Oryzias latipes: one gene and its partner. The protein of the gene in region 1 purifies or fractionates together with the protein of each later gene. This does not show direct contact. Links are inferred from orthologs where the notes say so. Each region holds a gene or a part of one and is shown on either strand. Other genes may lie near its edges.

Region 1 (3,752 bases):
TGAGGTCCAAAACTGCACGGGAATCTTCTGTGTGAGCTGTTGGTGATCAGCAGGACACCGGACTCCGAGACGTGGTCCAGACTGGGCTGCAGAGGTTTTATTTACACTGGCTTCTGGACTCTTGCTGAGGGAGAACCTCAAGAGGACTCATACCTCTGCTGCAAAGCTTCTGTGGAGCATGGCGCCCCCTTCTGGGTGTCTTCGATAGGAACAGTGTTTGTAGTGTCAGAGGAACCGCCGTCCGACCCGGCTTGGACGGGTCTTACAGTGTCTGTTAGCCAGTGACCGTTTCTCATTGTGAAATTATGTATTTTGGCTGACCCCCCCCCCCTGCGGTTTTTACACAGGTGTGATCACAGGTGAAGATCTGGTGAGTTTGAATCTTGAGGGGCGGGTTCAGGTCCGATGATGGAGCCTCCTCTCTGACTGCATGGAGGCGCAGTTTTTGGCTCCAGATGAGCCCAGATCCATTTCAGCCCCCCCATCAGGCCACAGACAGGTGGGAGACACATGGGGGGGGGGGGGGGGTCGTGATCCCCATGTCCGGTCCATTGAAAAGTCAGCAGAACTTAGATGTGTCCAAACCTTTTTCACTCAACAGCACCAGATTTTTGTAAAGGTGATCAAGACACCTCCTTAGTGCAGGTAAGAAGGTCCGAACAGGGCCCCCCATACCACTTAACCTGACCCCCACCCACACACCACTTGACCCCCCCCCATTTGTAAATAAAATACTTGAAGCCCACCTGATCTCAGAGTGGTTTCTTCTCATTGGTACGGAGTCCCTCAGTTGGTTCTGGTTCTGAGTGTTGAATCTTCAAATCAGACTCCACTCTGGAACTTTGAAGCTAATGGGGGCGGAGGGGGGTTGTTACGACCCCCCCGACCCAGATCAAGGTCAGTCCTGGTTCCGGTTCTGTTTCTAACCTTCAAAAACGTACATCAGGACAGAGTTTATTATTTGAGTTCTGACCTGCACGTGCTCCTATGTTCCGGTGGTCCGATTCCCATCAGATCAGTTTGATTCTCCGCTCTACAGCAGCCCCGCCCCTGAACGTCAGCAACTACCCACTGCGCATGCTCACTATCTCGCCATGTTCGGTTCGGTCCTCCGGAGCGCTGCAGCCGTCAGCAGGTGACCGTCCGACCTTCCGGTTCGGATCCTGGTTGAGACAGACCGGGTGTCACGCGGCCCCCACCCGCAGGCGCCGCACTGGAGCCCCCCCCCCCAGCCGCAACGGTGACATGACAGCCGCGGCGCGCCGTTTGCTCCGCTGACCCCCCCCTCCGCGCCCAGTAACCGACGCAGAGACCCCCTCCCTCCCGCCGCCGGCGAGCCTGTGCTGGGAGCGCGCAGCCCGGGAGCGCGCAGCAAGCCATGCCCTCCGCCCGGTCCAGCTAGCTCCTAGCCGCGGAGCTAACGGTTAGCCGAGGATGGTGGCGGCGGTCCCGGCGGATCCCGGACGTCGTGAGGCCCCCGGCTTCAGCCGCGCAGCTGGACCCGCAAAGCCGCGCACAGAATTCACGCCAAACGGAGCCGCGTGCGTGTGAGCATGCAGACGGGCCAGCTGCAGTTCGATTTCTGCAGCGAGGACAACGCTCCGCGGTGGAGAGGCCTGCTGGTGCCCTCCCTGGAGAAGGTAGGTGCGCACGCACGCACGCACGCACGTAGGCGGCTGCTGCAGCCAGGTGTGGCCCTGCAGGTAAGCCGGGCCGTTCCGTGACAGGACGGCTGACGTCAGATGGGGGCAGCGGGGTCTGCCTGCTCCCCGGAGGCTACAGGTTCTGGACTCTTCCAGCTCACCTGGACCACTTCAGTCCCGATCCGACCTGAACCACTTCAGTCCCGATCGGACCTGGACCACTTCAGTCCCGATCCGACCTGGACCACTTCAGTCCCGATCCGACCTGGACCACTTCAGTCCCGATCCGACCTGGACCACTTCAGTCCCGATCCGACCTGGACCACTTCAGTCCCGATCCGACCTGGACTGATGTGGTTCTCTTGTGATTTAGAAGATCAACACTCTGCAAATCTGTTCCTCACTGTCCCAGAGTTCTTTGTTGGACCTCCAAAGTTGTGGGTTGGACCGGGTAGAAGCGCTCCAGGTGGCTGACCTCTGACCCTCTGGATCCATGTTTCATAAGTTCTGCTCACCATCAGAACCTCTGACCGCTGTCATCAGGCCCGCGTCCTGAGAGATCCATTTAATGATGGCAGAGTCCAGCTGGTAGGCAGAAACTACAACAGGAACTCAAAGAATGATGACAGGTTTCTGACCCACAACACGGTCTACCACCATGTGGACCTGGTTTGTAACGCTCATGGTTTCTGTGTTGGTTCTGGTTCTACTGCCAGCGGTGCATCAGGTGGAAATGTGGGAGGTTGGATGGACTGAGGTCTCCTGGGTTCAGATGATGTTCTATTGGGTCAGGACAGATGTTTGGACTCCTGCATGTATTAATTTAATGGGATTTAAAACCCAAAAGGTTAAATTATGATTAAACGACTTTAAAACTGGACTAAAATAACTGTTTGTGATCATCAGCTGTGGTTCTGGACGGGAACATTTCCAGAGAAGGTCTTCTTAGCTGCATGAAAGGAGCAGCAGGTCTGGTCTTTACCTGGTTCCTGTGGGACCAGCATGCAGACCTGAACCCGGTGTAGAGTCTGACCGTCGCCCATAAGTGGGTTTCGGCCTGTTGGTGAACATAAATTAAAAAAAAGAAACACAGAAGAAGCTAAAACCAACAGAAACTCAGAGAGAAAGGTGTCTTTCTGTCCTCCTCCACTGGGGGGCAGCACATATCCATGAGGCCTGTGTTTCTGCTTGTTCTGATCAAACCTGCTCTGTCATTTCGTTTTGTTTAATTATTGATCAAACGTTGTGTGTGTGGCTGCACGCTGCAGGTACTGAACCAGGTACACCCCAACCTGAAGTCCCAGCAGGAGGCGCTGCAGTACATCGAAGAGCTGATCCTGCTGCTGCTCAGCATGTTGTGTCAGGCCCAGCCTCGCACAGTGCAGGACGTGGAGGTGACGCACACGTGCACACATGCACAGATACACGCATGCACACATACACAGATACACACATGCACAGAAATACATGTGCACACAAACACACGTGCACACCTGCACCCATCCACACGTGCACACGTTTGCCGTGGCCACATGCATGTTCCACCAACAAGCCCTTGAAATCTCCACCAATGATTCAGACCTACAGGCTTAGGGATGCTGAAACCTGGAAACAAACCCTCTTACCTTTAGTCACCTAAGTGAGGTCAAGCCTGCAGGTCAGGTCACTTGGTCCTCACACCTTCTGTCGGTTGTCTTAGGAGAGGGTCCAGAAGAGTTTTCCTTATCCTATCGACAAGTGGGCGATTGCAGATGCTCAGGCGGCCATCGAGAAAAGGAAGAGAAGGAACCCTCTGTCTCTGCCGGTTGATAAGATCCATCCCCTGCTGAAGGTAACCGTCCTGTCAGTGTTTTCTCCATCCTCCGCTCTTGTCCATGTTTATCAGTAACTCTGACTCTCAGACAGAATCGTCTTCAGGAAGAAGCTTTGCTGTTGGCTTCCACAGAGTAGAAAGTTTGGGGAAGCGGGCCGCGGTTTGGAGCACTGAAAAGATCTCAGGACTTTTGCATCTCTCTGTCTCCCATCATGCATTGTGTTCAGGAGGTTCTGGGCTATAAGATTGAGCACCAGGTGTCCGTGTACATGGTAGCTGTGTTGGAGTACATCTCT
Region 2 (3,652 bases), on another chromosome or scaffold:
ATGCTTGTGTGTATATATGCACGTGTGTGTGTTTGTGTGCGTGTGTGTGATGACGTGTGTGTTTGTGTATGAGTGACTTTTTTTCCTGCGACTTTGGGTTCTCTTTCCTGCTCTCGGTCTTGCAGGCGTCTATCTCTCTCTCACAGCAGCAGACATGCTTGGTCTGTGGTTGCTATGGAAACAAAGTTTAGCGTGAAGTGGGAATAGAACAGGGAGTCCTGGGAAAAGTAATCACCCATGGCTGGTCGGTGCCCCGGGTTCCCCCCGGCTCTCCTTTTGTTTGGTTCTAATGGGATGGTGGACAGGAAGCTCAAGGCGCACAGACACGGGCCCAGATTCTGGGGGTCAGAACTTTTGTTCTTATCCTAGAGCTCAACACCCCTGCAGATCTGTGGGGAAAGCTGTGTGCTCGGGGGGGGGGGGGGGGGGGGGGGGGGGGGGGGGTTAGCTGCTGGATCAATCGGGTTCAACCATCAGTTGACCTGCTTTTGCTGTTGAAAGTCACTGATTTACCCATAATTCCTTTCTGTATTGCAGCCTAAAAACCTGCTTCAGAGTTCAGACAGAACATAACTGATCCCATGACACTGCCACCACCGTGCCGAGCTCACATTCAGGACCAAACTAAGAACCAAAGTCCAAACAGTCGGTCGTTTTCTGATGAAACCCGTTTGTGTTTCCTGTCTTTGATCGTTCTCTGCCGACAGATCAGCTGATTCACAGGTTGTAATCAGATTACTGCAGCTGCTTGTCTCTGCTGCAGTGGATCCTGCAGGATGAACGGATACGAAGCTGCAGCTGCGTCTTCGGGCGGCTTCTCCTCCTCCAGCGCACACGTCAAGTGAGTCCGGCTGATCCTCCGGGTCACGAACAGAACCAACCACGACTGTTCTGCGGGTCACAGAGAGAGAGCGGTTCTGAGCAGACGGAGGTCCAACATGATCTGTTTGTTTTGCAGCGGCCATGACGGCCCGTCTCCTGAAGCCCGCAGGAGCAAAGCCAAGCCCGGTCCCAAAGTTCTGTACGGTGAGTCTCTGCTGTTGGACCTGGAACGTGGTCCTGGTTCTGGGTCAGCTCCAGTTTTATCTTCCTGGTGGACCTGCAGACCTTCTCTGTGTTTCTGTCTGACGAGGTCACTCCTGTAGTCCCGCTGCTGGTGTGGCTCCGGCCCGTTTGTGACAGTGGGTCAGAACTTTGGTGTCTGCTGTCATTGGTCTGCAGGATCAGAGGAAATGTACTTCCTGCGCTCGTCGTCCAAACACAAAAAGAAAACTCAAAGTAGGACAACTGTGCACGCGTGTGTGTGCACGTGTGTGTTTGCACGCGTGTGTGTGCACGTGAGATGTTGTCTTCTGCTTTAACTTTATTTAAAATAGTTTTTTTCACTGTTTCAACAGTAAAACTTTATTGAAACGTGAACGTTCACAGACCAGAACCTGATCCTTGAGGGTTCTGCACGTGTGCTTGGCGCTGGTCCGTTATCTGCTGCAGCTGAAGCCGCTTTGCTCCTGCTGATAACAGCAGCGGAGGATGTCCGGTTCTTCTGCAGCGCCTGAAGGCAGCAGATACTTCAGCGGCGGGGATTGATGGACGCCACGCCGCTTTGTCTTTGCGTTTCCTGCGTTCAACGGGGCTGAAGAAGCTGATGGATCCTTTAGAACCTGACAGGTTCTGAATCTCAGGGTCCAGCTGCTTCTAAAAGCATAACAAACACAGAACGCCCATAAATCAGTACAAGTGTTGAAACAACGTTCACACGTTTCTCTTCTCCCAGAATCCTTTTGGTCTGCGGACTTTCCCTCTGACTCTGGTCTTTGGACGGTTCTGCTGCATGTGGTCTGGTTTGTGGACATCTTTGTGACAAAACAGACAGAACATTTGATGTACTTAACCCTTCAGACGGCAGATAACCTGCAGGAAAATCCACACCCACCAGATCAAAGAAGCTGTGGTCCTTGAAGGCATCATCATAACTGTGGTGTTTGTCCGTCATCTCGCTGTAGAACAGATGCAAACATCCAGACCTCTGAGGTTCTTCAGACCTCCAGCAGAAGCCCTGTTTGTGTTTTGGGTTCTGGAGCAGGTTCTGTCTGCGTGTGCCGTTGACCTTAAGGGTGTCCAAATGGACTTTGAGAAGGCGGAGGGTCTCGGTTAACCGCTCCGCTTCTTTGCCAGAACCCAGAAAACGCTACACCAGAACCAGCATCAACAGCCTGACGGACACGTCGCGGTACCAGGTGGAGGTGAGTCCCGCCCTGCCCAGCAGCAGAACCTCTAGCTGCGGGGGCTCTAACCTCCGTTCTGGTCCCGTCCAGCACCTGATGACATTCGTTCTGGACCGGAAGGACGGGATGATCTCGGTGGACGACGGCGTCAGGCGGCTGCGGCTGCTGGACGCCAAAGGGAAGGTGTGGACTCAGGAGATGCTGCTGCAGGTGGAGGAGAGGGGGGTCAGCCTGATGGACCTGGAGACTCAGGTGAGGCTTTTCTGAACCCCCCCTAGAAGAAACGGTGCTGTCAGGGGAGCAGCATTGAGGGTCTTATAAAGGTTTCTTGGTTTTTTCAGGAAAAAGAAGAAAATGAGTTTTTCAAAGCAGCTTAAATGTAAAGTCGTGTAAAAACCTGGTGACCTTTGACCTTTTGTTTGCTGTTTCTTGTGCTGACTGACTTCCAAACAAAGTTAATTATAATGTTGGTACGTTTTATAAAAATGAATAAATGCTTTCAGGTTTCTTACTAATTTTCTAAAATGTCAAAGTAGCTTCAGTGAGGAAAACCCTGCAGTTCCTCAAATGAGCACTAGAGGGCAGAAAGGAGATTCGTCCCGTTCGCTCCCCTCTAAACACATCTACAGGTGATATCAGGTGTTTCTTTTCTTTATAATCATTTAGGAAATCGGAGCAGGGTTGGGTGACGGGGGGTTCCATGTTTTCATTTTGATAGACCTTAGTTACAGATTTCCTTTTGATTGGCAGGTGGGCGGAGCCTTGGGGGAAAGTCTTACTGAATTTTGTTCCTCCTCTCCTGTTTTAGGAAAGTTGTAGATGTGGGCGGAGTAAACTCCGGTCAGTGTGCTCCTCCCACTTCAGATTTATTTTGACTATCCGTGTCTTCATGTTCCGGTCAGATTACGTCAAACGCAGTTGAACGTTTAAAATGTAAAACGCGATCATTTGTCGGATCTTGTCACATTTTCAGGGGAAATCCTCGGAGAACACAGGTGAGTTTCTTTTCACGTAGATGGAAGGTTGTGTGGCAGAAATGGGCGTGGCCAGCTGTTTCACCACTCTAGAAAAGGCGGGGCTAATGTTGATACAGCAGTGCCCCCTACAGCCGACCCACTGTAAGTACAGCTCTGTAAAGACCTTCTGGATTTAAGGAAGCCAGTAAAGTGTAGAGGAACGTTTGCATGCAGACGTAGAGCAGAGAACAGGTGGATCCTCTCTGAGATCAGGCCTGAAGGGAGTTGGTCAGGTGACCTGGAGTTTCTACGCCCCCTGAACAAACATCCAAACGGCCGCTGACTCACAGCTCCACCCAGCTCCACCCAGCTGCCAATAAAGACACACCCCAGGTTATGTGCAGACAGGTTCTCATAAAGTTCAAATGACGGATTTCAAAATAAAAGCACACTCTCTCCTTCAGTTGTGGT

Evidence for each region.
Region 2: the proteins of sos1 (region 1) and eps8 purify together in Homo sapiens (affinity purification with western blotting; 5 studies listed by BioGRID and IntAct, with this or other methods). This does not show direct contact. The link is inferred for Oryzias latipes from reciprocal best matches to the Homo sapiens genes SOS1 and EPS8.

The regions. Positions count from the first base shown.
Region 1 is NC_019859.2:117,422-121,173, reverse strand, and holds the start of sos1 (son of sevenless homolog 1), read left to right. Parts: upstream 1-1,098; 5' UTR 1,099-1,553; coding exon 1,554-1,640; intron 1,641-2,911; coding exon 2,912-3,037; intron 3,038-3,342; coding exon 3,343-3,474; intron 3,475-3,683; coding exon 3,684-3,752. Other genes in the region: tmem178a (transmembrane protein 178A), read left to right, coding at 1-35.
Region 2 is NC_019881.2:23,585,228-23,588,879, reverse strand, and holds part of eps8 (epidermal growth factor receptor kinase substrate 8), read left to right. Parts: intron 1-707; exon of another isoform or gene 708-763; coding exon 764-841; intron 842-958; coding exon 959-1,026; intron 1,027-1,221; coding exon 1,222-1,278; intron 1,279-2,175; coding exon 2,176-2,243; intron 2,244-2,315; coding exon 2,316-2,477; intron 2,478-2,502; exon of another isoform or gene 2,503-3,652. UniProt on the Homo sapiens protein: Signaling adapter that controls various cellular protrusions by regulating actin cytoskeleton dynamics and architecture. Depending on its association with other signal transducers, can regulate different processes.